Callithrix jacchus: one gene and its partners. The protein of the gene in region 3 purifies or fractionates together with the protein of the main gene of each other region. This does not show direct contact. Links are inferred from orthologs where the notes say so. Each region holds a gene or a part of one and is shown on either strand. Other genes may lie near its edges.

What was found. The genes of interacting proteins can lie anywhere in the genome.
Region 1: the proteins of PRKAR2A (region 3) and PRKACB purify together in Homo sapiens (affinity purification with mass spectrometry; 6 studies listed by BioGRID and IntAct, counting the BioPlex papers as one, with this or other methods). This does not show direct contact. The link is inferred for Callithrix jacchus from reciprocal best matches to the Homo sapiens genes PRKAR2A and PRKACB.
Region 2: the proteins of PRKAR2A (region 3) and AKAP8 purify together in Homo sapiens (affinity purification with western blotting; 3 studies listed by BioGRID and IntAct, with this or other methods). This does not show direct contact. The link is inferred for Callithrix jacchus from reciprocal best matches to the Homo sapiens genes PRKAR2A and AKAP8.

What each region holds. Positions count from the first base shown.
Region 1 is NC_133508.1:121,359,585-121,363,845, reverse strand, and holds the start of PRKACB (cAMP-dependent protein kinase catalytic subunit beta), read right to left. Parts: upstream 2,804-4,261; 5' UTR 2,710-2,803; coding exon 2,523-2,709; intron 1-2,522. UniProt on the Homo sapiens protein: Mediates cAMP-dependent signaling triggered by receptor binding to GPCRs.
Region 2 is NC_133523.1:14,076,799-14,080,950, reverse strand, and holds the start of AKAP8 (A-kinase anchor protein 8), read left to right. Parts: upstream 1-1,349; 5' UTR 1,350-1,433; coding exon 1,434-1,584; intron 1,585-1,690; exon of another isoform or gene 1,691-1,968; intron 1,969-4,054; coding exon 4,055-4,093; coding exon of another isoform or gene 4,094-4,115; intron 4,116-4,152. Other genes in the region: AKAP8L (A-kinase anchor protein 8-like), read left to right, coding at 539-634, 721-1,029. UniProt on the Homo sapiens protein: Anchoring protein that mediates the subcellular compartmentation of cAMP-dependent protein kinase (PKA type II).
Region 3 is NC_133516.1:31,471,589-31,475,608, reverse strand, and holds the start of PRKAR2A (cAMP-dependent protein kinase type II-alpha regulatory subunit), read left to right. Parts: upstream 1-1,220; 5' UTR 1,221-1,475; coding exon 1,476-1,737; intron 1,738-4,020. UniProt on the Homo sapiens protein: Regulatory subunit of the cAMP-dependent protein kinases involved in cAMP signaling in cells. Type II regulatory chains mediate membrane association by binding to anchoring proteins, including the MAP2 kinase.

The sequences.
Region 1 (4,261 bases), on a different chromosome or scaffold from region 3:
TAAGTCAGCATTATATACCTTTACACATTTATGATCTAACGAAGATTAAAAAGCTAACCATAATAAATTTGCTAGAAAGAGAACTTAATGAATGTCAATACTCTCATTCATTCTGAGTTGGAACAAAAAGCAGAATTCCTCCATGCTTTTCTATGAACTTCATGTATTTATATGTGCATGCAATTAGCTGTTACACATTTATTTAATCAAACATGAATTTCTGTAAGTTTAACAGTAAAGGATGAAACACCTGGAGACCACTATGTGGTCTTTGTTCTGTGTTTCTTCCTACATATAATGTCACTGGACAAGAAAGAAACTTGGATTAAAGCTTGATGCATTTCATATCTCCTAAATTAGTAATCAATTTTTATACAACAGTTTATGAACTTAATTTTTTTGTAACTTGGTATAGTTTCTATGCTTAGTTGATTTCATTTAAAAAAACACTTTAGGAACAAATATATTCAGTGTTTATCATCAGGAGACATTACATTCCCCTTTCTTGTCAAACGAGTCATACAAGTAAACTGCTTTAGGAAGCTTTGAAGAATGTGGTTCATATGAAACTTTGTACAGTCAGAACTCCTTCTATAGCTAATTTGCCAAATGAATAAAAATTATGTTTTCACCATAAAAATAAACCTCGGAATTTTGAAATGATAGGATTCCTCTATTTCAGCTCTATCACTGTTTTCTCCTCCATATCAACACATTTCATAATTAGAGCTTCATGCTACCATACTCATCCTTAGATATAAAATTATTATCTCTACTATGGTATTTGGGGATATAAAAAGGAGAGTCAAGTAAAGGAATACTTTAATGAACATTCAGTTAATCTTTAAGTATTTCTTACACCATGTATATTATTTGCAGGGCTACATGGTTTGCTCCTAATTTTTTGTGAACAATGATTTTATTTGTTTTGACTTCACGATTAAAAATAAATGAAAAACAGCATTTTATCAGTCTGTTTTTCCAATAGAAACCATGGCTTATACTATTTTCCATTACTAGATTTTAAAATGTGTTTTAGAAAGCATTGCAGGTCCCATACATTTAAAAAGTGGTGAAAGTCTAGTTCAAACATACCTTTTAATTATTAAAAACCCCTAACATTAATTTATTTGAGACATTTTTACTAAACATCCACTATACAAGGAGCAGGTATTAATGAAACAGAAATTAATTCAATTCTGTCTTTATTCCTCATTTAACTTTAAATTAAAATATATTTGAAATGCATAAATAATTTTCAAAAGGATTTAGGAGACTGCAATTTAAAAGAATAAGGCAAAGATAACAATTAATAAGCTATTGTTACTGTTACATGGTAAAGTTTAATAATATGTCATTATTTCAATATTCAACAGTTCATTAACTTGATTTTATATATATGTATGTATATATATAATTCATATTCCTAATCCATCAACTTGCTATAAAGTAAAGACTACTTTAACCCAAAACCTTTTAAGTGGAAAAAAGTGTACAAATATATGTTCTTCCTCAATCTCCCTAAAATAGTTTGAAGAATGTAAAAAAATTTCTGATTCAGTAAAAAATTAATTCAAATAAGCTTCTATAACACTGTTAAGGTGCTGTATAAACCTATAAGTAACTTTTATAAGCCATTCTTGATTTTGCTTGGCTGTTGTTAAACTGAATTTTCTTCCTTAACTGCTATCGAATACATAAACAGAAAGATCAAACCCTAGTGCTATCTGATGATCAAACAAACACACCAAAGAGGGCAAAAGTTTCAAGGGTAATTCTATTGTTCCTCTAATCGGAGTGACAAAAATACATTAAGGAGGGTCCAAGGTGAGATGAAGAATGGCGGCACTAGTATTGTTTATATGTGCAACTTATCTTTTAGAGTGTATGGCACCAAAAATGGTTCCATGGTACCAGTTAAGCAAAGTAGTAAGTCCAAACATTTTAATGTGCCTGGAAGGAATGCGATTCATGCATAATCAATTTTTTCCTGCATTTCAGTCATATGTATAAATAACATGAAATATAAAGTTTTGATAGCCATGTTATAAATGTAAGAATTTAAATAGAATAATTATGGTTTTATTTTTTAAATTCCTGTTTGTAAAACTGAAATAACTTTCACCCATGCATTTAAAAATAAAAACATGGCAAACACAATAGAAATCTAATTATAAATTCAAGAGTCTTGTTGCCCTTTCAAAGTTTAAAGCTTAAAAATACAAAACATTTTAAGAAGTAAACAGATGATTGTTTCTAAATCTTAAGTATTTTGTAGAAAACTCTGTCACCGATATTGAACTTAAATTGTCAGAAATAAAACCATACAACGATGAAAGCTGCATGATTCAGTTCAACTTACAATCAAGTTTTTGTGGAATTCTTTTAACTTTATCTTGTAAAATGTCCTTGTGAAAATTAGAAAACGACAAACAAAAGAGGGTTCTTTATGTTTGATTGTAAAACTCCAATTACCATTTTAGCTGCTAGTTATAACGTAGCATTTAAAAAATAAAACTTACTTGATCTGTCCCATAAGGCAGTATGTTCAGAGAAATGAAGGCTGTCATTTTCCAGAGCTGTTTTCTGATCATGTGCAGTACCTTTGGAGTGTCTATGAAATAACCGGCTAGCAAAACCTTCCAATTTCTGAAGAGCTGTAGTTGTACCTGTATACTGGTTACAAGGTGGTTCTCTATAAGCTGCCATTCATGTGCATTTACACTTTACTTAATGTAACTGCAAATATTCCCAGAAAGAGCTCACAACTTCTTACACAGAAGCTAAGAGCTATGCATGTCTCAAACTTCCTGTTTGCAGGGTATTCAAACCACTACTGCTGTTCTGTTTCCTGTTAATATAAAACAGCACATTACTGAGCTTTTCTTAGCAAAACACTTTTCATCTCAGCTAGAGATGAGGATTTTAAAAACTTGCAATATCTGCCTAAAAGGCTTTGTGTTTGGGTGTTTTAATATTAATATACAGGTCAATGCAATGAGAGCATTAAATATAAAACTAGTAGGCTGAACATTTAAATAAAACTAGTTAAACATGTATGACAAGTCTATGCAAACAACTGAAGGCCAAGCTGTCCTCCAAATACAACATGCTAAAGACAGGCTGTATTTTTTTCTAGGAAATCAACTAATATACAGATTTTATGAATCCTTATAAACAGCTAACTTTTCATCAAAAAAACTAGTATGAAATGGATATTACAAAACAAATTTATAAAACATATAAATAAAACAATCTGAAATAGCACTTTTAAAAATGGAAAGTTTCTAATACATTGATTTAGGTCTAATACATACAGAACTACAGACACTTAGTATGTCAGTATTGCTTATCAAACTTATAATCTGCTGATATACATCTATTACCAGGAGTATATTTTAAAACATTCTAAAATTTGAAAAAAATAACAAAATACAAGATTTAAATTACATAAAATCCGCCATACCAAGAAATTTCAATTGAGAGAAAAAAATGTTCTTTCTAGTTGGCTGAGACATGCTAATTTTAAAATCTTACCACTGAAGACTACTACTTACCTAAATCCCTGATTTAGTGATCTCACTTAGAAACATCTCTCTCTCTCTCTCTCTCTCTCTCTCTCTCTCTCTCTCTCTCTCTCAACAACAACATCAACAGAGTTTTGCTCTGTTGCCCAGACAGACTGCACAGTGGTGCAATCTCCTCTCACTGCAACCTCCGCTTCCTGGGTTCAAGTGATTCTTGTCCCTTAGCCACTGAGTAGCTGCAATTACAGGCTCGTGACACCATGCCTGGCTAATTTTTGTATTTTTAGTAGAGATGGGGTTTCGCCCTTGCCCCTCAGTCACCCGAGAAGCTGGGATTACAAGGCGTGTGCCGCCACCACGCCTGGCCAATTTTTTGTATTTTCAATACAGATGGGGTTTCGCCATGTTGGCCAGGCCAAAAGTTGTTTTAAATTCCTGGCCTCAAACGATATGCCCACCTTGGTCTCCCAAAGTGCTGTGATTACAAGCATGAGGCACCGCACTTGGGCAAAACATCTCTTTTGATTAAAAGTAAATAAAATTTGCCTTGTTGATTTTCAGGAATGAAAGTAACTGGTGGCATTTAACAAACATTTTGAGTACTTGTTTTTTGGCACTAAAGGGTAAGAAATTTGTGTGGTTTTCTTTGGAGGCAGAGGGGAGGGGTGGGGAATAAAAAGGAAGGGAAGGAAAGGAATAAAAAAGATCTATCTAAAACAATCTATCTTAAAAAA
Region 2 (4,152 bases), on a different chromosome or scaffold from region 3:
AAAAAATAATGGAAATAGTTGATCCTCCCACCAGCAGAGAAGTGTCTCTAACCTTGCATGACTGGGAAGAATTTTTCATTCTTGGAATTCTGTGGGTTAAAAAGACGTTTCATTAAATATCTGTTCCTGCTTTTATATCCTCCCCGTTGGCCCCAAAGTGCTCCTTGCCTGTTAGCCTAGTTGTCTCCTTGATACGGGTTTTGCACCTTTGGCTCTTAGTTTGATTTGTTCGCTGCTTACAGCTTTTTTGTAAGCAAACCAGAATTCTGTAATACAGCCATAAAGACATACAGAGATCTATAGATCTGTATTTTTAATCACCTACAGTAATTGTGTGGAAGGAGAGGGAATTTGAACAAAGATCAGATAGATCGTGGTTCCCTGCTTGTAGAATGGCCCTTCGTTGGTAGGGCTGCGCCCCAGGTGTAAGTGCGTGGGTGTGGGGGCGGGGGTGGTCCCTCTGAGCTGGCAGGGTGGGGGTGGGGGAATTACAGGTCACCTAGAGCAGCCTCTCCAGCCCCTTCTGCCCTGCCTGCAGCTCATGATGGAGCAGTCCAAGAAGTCCTCGCTCATGGTGGCCCGCAGCATCCTCAACAACAAGCTCATCAGCAAGAAGCTGGAGCGCTATCTGAAGGTGAGCCGCTGGTCCCGCGCTGGCCCTGACCCCAGGCCAGTCCCCGCCTGTGCTCCCTCGTTCAGTGTCCGCGCCCCTCCCTGCAGGGAGAGAACCCTTTCACCGACAGCCCCGAGGAGGAGAAGGAGCAGGAGGAGGCTGAGGGGTGCGCCCCGGACGAGGGGGCGCAGGGCGAAGCGGCAGGGGTCTCGGAGGGTGCAGAGGGCGCGCCGGCGCAGCCCCCCGTTCCCCCAGAGCCGGCCCCAGTGGCCGCGTCGCCACCACCACCGCCGCCCCCAGAGGAGGAGGAGGAAGGTGCCGTGCCCCTGCTGGGAGGGGCGCTGCAGCGCCAGATCCGCGGCATCCCGGGTCTCGACGTGGAGGACGACGAGGAGGGCGGCGGGGTTGCCCCGTGACCTGAGCTCGGGGCGGGCGGGGCCCGTGGGGCCGAAGCTGGAAACCAATCCTAATAAAGTTTTCCATCCCATCTCCAGCTTTCTCGGTGACTGCCTCGCCGGCGGGGCGGGGCAGGGCGGGACTGGGCTCGGGCAGAGAAGCTGGATGCGCATGCGCAGGGGCTGGGCCCTCTGGCACAGCAGCCGCACCACAACTCCCGATACGCTACGGATGCGGATTCTGAGGAGCCCGAAAGGCCAGATGGGACGGCGGGGGCGGGCCTTTTTGAAGACCTGCCAATAGGAGCGCGCGGAAGTAGTGACGTAGCGCCTGATCTTCCAGTAGTCGACGGTGGAGGTGCGTTGAACGCATGCGTCCCGTGGCCGCCTAGTAAAAGGGGTTGCTGGTGGGCCGCGTCGAAGCCATGGACCAGGGTTACGGAGGTTTGTGTTGGCTGCTGGGCGCGGAGCGGGGAGGAAAGGCGCTGTGCGGGCGGCGCAGCCGCAGCGCAGACGGCCACGGGCCGGGGCTTCGTCCGGAGCGTGGTTGCCGCAGCCGGGACCTACGAAGAGGAGGTCGGGGCGCGCGCGCGGGCGCGCCGCTCATTGGGTTTTGGCGCCGTCGCTCCCGGGGCGCTGCGTGCGGATTGGCCGTCAGGGCCTGAGGAGGCGGGCGGGACTCGGGGTTGGGGTAGAGGCCGCGGTGGGCTTTATGTGGGGGTGCCTTGGGCCGTGTGGGCCGTTTCTGCCTCGCAGCTTCCGTGGGGCCCGTCCGGTCCCTACCGACACCGGTGTTCGCACTCCCGACTTCCTCTTCCGAAGACGCCACAAAATGGCGGCGCTAGGGGGTGGAGCCACAGCGTGGGGTCCTGAGGTCCGGCCCGGGGCCCGGAGTCTGGGGCCGCCGGCTGACCGCGGGGGCTGCCTTTCTGCAGGCTTGTCCTAGGCCTGCGGGGCCAGGTGGGGGCCTCCGCTGGGCTCACGTGGCTCAGGGAGCCTGTCCCAGAAGCTGTCGGGCTGCGTGAGGTCGGCCCTTTAGTGCCGGGTGCAGCGTGGTGGGGTCGAGTGTGGCCGGCGCAGGAGTCAGCTTTGCCGGGCTCCAGCTCCGTACCCGGCCTGTGTTGTCCCGGGACAGGATAGTGAGGGGCAGGTGCTGAGTGTTGGTGCAAAGCTGGAAACCTGATGTGCCCTGGGGCTGGTGACAGATTAGCCGTTCTCCTTTAGGCAGTCTGTTGGAGGGGCCAAGGAGCTGTGCAAGAGGGAACGTGCCCTTTCCCCACTTGGTTTTAGCGGTTTCCCTGCAGTAGATCCGATCTTCTCTAGCTGCCTGCTCCCAGCTTGTGGAATCAGAGCCCTCTGAGAGCCAAGTTTGCCCACGGGATATTTGGGACATGCTGGGTGGGGCTCGACTGGTTGTAGAGAAGCTAGTGGTGTGATCCTGGCTGCAAGAGCTCGAGAAGTTGTCGGTCTTGAGAAGTGTCAGGGCAAAAGGATCCCAGCAGCAGAAATTGAGGACAGAGAGGGGTCGGTTCTGAGGTGGGAGCCTGTGCCCGTGTGCTTTAGGTGTGTACCAGACCCACAGCCTAGGTAGATTTCACTATTCTTTTCCTTTCTTCCCATCAGATCTTTTTTGCAGGTGCTGTATTCCTCTTTTTCAGTCTTAATTTGGAGATTTGTTTTGTTCTTGAGACGGAGTTTCGCTCTTGTTACCCAGGCTGGAGTGTAATGGCACGATTCCGGCACACCGCAGTCACCGCCTCCTGGGTTCAAGCAATTCTCCTGCCTCAGCCTCCCGAGTAGCTGGGACTACAGGCGCGCGCCACCGTGCCCAGCTAATTTTTGTATTTTTAGTAGACCAGGATGGTCTCGATCTCTTGACCTCGTGATCCACCTGCCTCGGCCTCCCAAAGTGCTGGGATTATAGGCATGAGCCACCGCGCCCAGCCAGTTTGGAGATTTTTTTACCCACTCTTCCTATCTCCTGAAAACCTTTCAGACTTAGTGGAGATACTTCAGCTTCCCTGATTTCTTGTGTTTCAGGGAGGGTTTTCAGGTTGACTTAATAGCGCATGCCACTTAAGGAAGCAGTCTTACGAGGTTGGTTACTTGCTGTTAGAATACGGATACAGATTTAGAGGGCCTTGCAGTATGACAGGGAAGGGAAGGCATAGCATAGCAGAGGGCAAAACTCAGCAGTATGACTGGGTCAAGTCTCATAATCCATGAGCCTAGTTCCCTTCTCCCGAATGGCATTCTGGAACAACAGGGTTTTCTTTGTACTTGCCGTGTATCGGCACACACTAGGCGCTTAGAGGTGGGGGGTGCTCTGTTGAGGTAGACAAGGATGTATTCCTCCCTTATCAAAGTGAAGTCTTTTGACAAGCATAGTGGCTTCTCAGCTCAGTGCTGGGTCCCAGGAACACAGAAATGAAGAGAATACAGTTCCAGTCTTCTTTCCTGGAGGGACCAGACAGATGCCATAGTGGGCAGGGGTGTTGGAAGGGTGAGGAGTACAGAGTCTTAAGGCCAGGCCAAGACTCTGGGACTCTTAAGGATTCAGGGGATCCTTAGAGGGCTTAAAGTAGCAGGAAGTGCAGCTTAGAGAGTTGCAGTTTATGCCACCAAATTCCCATGCTTGTTTCCAATTATGGGGTCCTTGTGATGTCAGTCTCAGCCAGTTTCCTAGCTGTGTGATGGGTGGGGGAATGTGTCCTCATGGTGAGTGGATTGCCTTGTGTTAGCCTCAGTTGTGGAGCGAAGCTTGGAAGGGTAAGCTCCTGGGCCAAAGTTTCTCTGCATGGCAGAGCTGACTTCCAAGCCCACTTCCCTCTCCCCTTTTTCTGCTTTGACTTCAGCCAGGTGGAGTGTGATGATATAAGAATTAGCCAGCTGTGGGAGGGCCTTTGGAGGTGGGGGTGGGTTCTTCCTTTTTGTACAGCTGGCACTGAACTGCAAGGAGATCCCTTTAGGCTCCTCAGAGTACCCCCAAAAGGACCCATTCTCTAGTGTGACAAATAGAATCTTAACTCACAGGGTCTTCTTGCAGGCTATGGTGCATGGAGTGCTGGACCTGCCAACACCCAGGGTAAGTGGGCTCTGCTTTGCAGGTAAGGCATGGGCTTCCCCTACACTCAGGGCCCTAGC
Region 3 (4,020 bases):
ATCAGTGGGGATGAGGTGCTCCTTGCTCCCAGTTGCTCAGCTCCCAGCAGCATTGAGCTCCTGGGTGTGTGCCAAGCCTGTATGGGAGGTGCTAGGGAGGATTTTAATTAATACTGGGTAATTACCAGGTGGTGTTTAAGCATCCCAAATGCCTTCAGGTTCCCAAACCTACAGCTACTGTCTTCCTGCCTGGGCCTGGAAAGGAGAGGGGGGGACTCTGCCCTGTGCCCAGTGGGCCTTTTGGTTAGCACGTAGGCTGTGGTCTGATATCCCAGGAAGGTCTTCATCTTTTTTAACTCCCTTCCAGTTTGGAAGGAGGAGGAGAGCAATTTGGGAAATAGCCTGGCCTCTGCAGTTCACTTATACCATCTCCCCAGGGGCAAAGGATAACAACACTTTGTGGTCTGCTCAACTTCATCAAGCAGTGTTGGCCTAGGGTCCAGTGTAGTGTGTGGGGAGAGGAGTGGGCAGACCTAGACCTGTGGACCCTGGTGAGAGTGCTCCAGGAGGAACAGGCACAGAAGTCTTTCCTGCTTTTGGCCTTACTTCCCTTTCTCACTGTATTCATTTGGCTGAGTGAACTCTTTCAAATTTATTTTCTGCCAGTGGCTCTCAAATTATGATGTCACTGAAACGCCTACTTCCTACAAGGCCTTCCGCATTTGACGTCTCAGAGACCTGCCAGACTCCTGAGTTAATTCACCATTCCACCTGGCAGCCACGGGAGTCCTGACTCCACCAGGCCTTTGCTCTTGTTCTATGTTCAGATAGCTTTCCTCCAGATCTTCGCCTGGTCGGGTCCTGCTCAGGCCTCAGGGCCAGCTTGAATGTCACCCCTGAAAGTGAGCCCTCTCTTGCCCTTCATCACAGCAGAACCACACTGAGGTGCTCATATGTTTCTGCGTCTCGCTGTGTCTCTGGTGCTAAGTGCCAGCAAACAGGAGACTCTTGGCATTTACTGAAAGAATAATTTAAAGGTCTTCAGGACCAGGCGAGAGGCACTAATCGGTCCTCTTCATGGGTAGACCATTCATTACTTAATTCCCTGGATTCCCGCTGGGAGCTGGCAGCTGGAACCCTCCACTGCCTTGACCCCCCGACAGTCCAAGGGGCGGGCCGCCCAGTGGCGCAAGCGCAATGAGGGCCGGTCCTAGGCGGGGACGCGCACGTCCGCGGACGCGTGCGACACAACCAGGGTGCCCGCCCCGCTCGTCCCCCTCGCCTGCCCGTCGGTCCCCGCGGCGGCAGCGGCTGCCCAGTGACAGCGGCGGCGGTGCCAGGCCGGCCGTGGTAGCGTAGGGTTGCACCGCCCGGAAACGCAGAGCCGGCCAAAGAGCCGCGCGACGCGAGGAAGGCCGAGCCTGGGCCGCGCGCTTAGAGACCTTGCGGGCGGGGAGCAAAAGGCCGACGTGAGTGAGCGCGGAGACAGTGGCCGCAGGCGGCCCAACCCGTCCGTCCCCTCAGCCGCCGCCGGCATGAGCCACATCCAGATCCCGCCGGGGCTCACGGAGCTGCTGCAGGGCTACACAGTGGAGGTGCTGCGACAGCAGCCGCCTGACCTCGTCAAATTCGCGGTGGACTACTTCACCCGCCTGCGCGAGGCCCGTGCCCCTGCCTCAGTCCTGCCCGACGCCACCCCACGCCAGAGTCTGGGCCACACCACGCCAGAACCCGGCCCAGACCACGTCGCCGACGCCAACGGGGACAGCGAGTCGGAGGAGGACGAGGACTTGGAAGGTAGGCTGTGGGCGGGGCCCTGGGGAATGGTGCAGGAGATCTCCAGAGGTCTAGAGGGGTGGCGGGGGGCCGGTTGTCGCGCTGGGGGCCAGCCGACTGCGGGCTGAGACTGGGAGCTTCTAGCGCTTCCCTGAGACACCGGCGTGAGCCCGCGTGCGCCACTTCCAAACTGAGTTCCGCGGTCCTGCGAGCCCTGGAACGTACCGAGTCAGATTCAGTCTTGAAGGAAACCTGCGCGTTGTCGGCCCCGCCAGAGGATCCCTCACCTTGTCTTGAGACACTTCACCAGGTTTGGCTTCGAAGACAAGAGCATTCACATCCAGTGACTCGTGTTTAATTGATAGGACAGTAAGTTTGTTTGGAAATAATTCATTTTTTTGAAAAGTTACTGTGAAAACTTTTAAACATAGATAAAAGAGGAAAGGTGAGATAAATCCCTCTATGCCATCACCTATATTTAACGGTCGTATTTGTCACAAAGTTTCATCTATACCTTTTTTTCTTTCTTTGCCAAAGTTCATTGAAGCAAATCTCTCAGGTCATTTCACTTCTGCTTACTTGAGTATGTATTTCTTAAAATATGGTACCTGGGAAATTCCTATTTTAAAAAATTTGGCCAAAATGATTGAATCAAATTTGGCGAGAGTAAATAATTATCTTGCCAGCCGGGGCAGTGGGGCCCTGTAGTCCCAGCTACTCTGAAGGCTGAGGGAGAGATATCCCTTGAGTCCAAGAGTTGGAGACCAGCCTGGGCAAAATAGACACCCTACTCCACTTTAAAAAAGGAAAAACCTGGCCAGGTGTGGTGGCTTACTCCTGTAATCCTAGCACTTTGGGAGGCGAGGCCTGTGGATTACCTGAGGTCAGGAGTTTGAGACCAGCCTGACTAACATGACGAAACCCTGTCTCTACTAAAAATACAAAAATTAGCTGGGTGTGTGGGGTGGGGGTGCCTGTAATCCCAGCTGCTGAGGAGGCTGAGGCAGGGAGAATCGCTTGAACCCGGGAGGTGGAGGTTGCAGTGAGACAAGATCATGCCACTGCACTCCAGCCTGGGCGACAGAGCAAGACTCTGTCTCAGAAAAAAAAAGGAAAAACCCAATAACTATCTTCTTGTTTACTCTGGGTTGTAGCTTTAAAGCAAAGGATCCCAGCTGAGACTGTGAGGTCAGGAGAGCAGCTTCATTGGTTCTGCTTGCTGTGCCAAGATTTATCATTTAGTAATAGTAAACCTTTTTCAAGAGTATGCAGTAAGAACTGAGCAGGAAACAAGTTGGAAACTGTCCCTCTCCTCACAAAGTTGGTGATCCAAGATCATCACACTTTTTTTTTTAAGACAGGATCTCAAAAAAAAAAAAAAAAAAATGTATCTCACTCTGTTACCCAGATTGCAGCATAGTGGTACAATCAGGGCTCAGTGTCAAGATTTATTATTTAGTAGTGGTCAGTAAACCTCCAAGAGTATGCAATCAGGACTGAGTAGGAAACAAGTTGAGAGTGTCCCTCCCCTCACAAAATTGATGATCCAAGATCATCACAGCTATTTTTTTTGAAAGACAGGATCTCGCTCTGTCACCTGGGCTGGAGTGTAGTGGTGCAATCAGGGCTCACTGCAGCCCCAACCTCCTAAGCTCAAGGTATTCTCGCACTTTGGCCTATCACGTAGTGGGGACTATAGGCATGTGCCACTACAAAGTGCTTGGCCTCCCAAAGTGCTGGGATTACAGGCAAGAGCTACTGTTCCTGGCCAAAATAACACTTTCTACATCTGATCTAAGCAAGGGTGTTAAGAAACAATTAGAGTTTCCTTGTTTCTTCAACATATGCTTTGTCAATTTAAGAGTAGAATTGGCTGGGCACGGTGGCTCAAGCCTGTAATCCCAGCACTTTGGGAGGCCGAGGCAGGTGGATCACGAGGTCACGAGATCGAGACCATCCTGGTCAACATGGTGAAACCCCATCTTTACTAAAAATACAAAAAATTAGCTGGGCATGGTGGCGTGTGCCTGTAGTCCCAGCTCCTCAGGAGGCTGAGGCAGGAGAATTGCCTGAACCCAGTAGGCGGAGGTTACGTTGAGCCGAGATCGTGCCATTGCACTCCAGCCTGGGTAACAAGAGCGAAACTCTGTCTCAAAAAAAAAAGAGTAGAATTAGCCTACTTTTGAACAACTAAAATTTAACAAAACAATGACACCATTTGAGAGGCCAAGCTAGAATCTTAGTGTTATCAGATCACACACACAAAACTAGTTCTGAGTTGTATCTGGTCTGGCCTAGTATTCA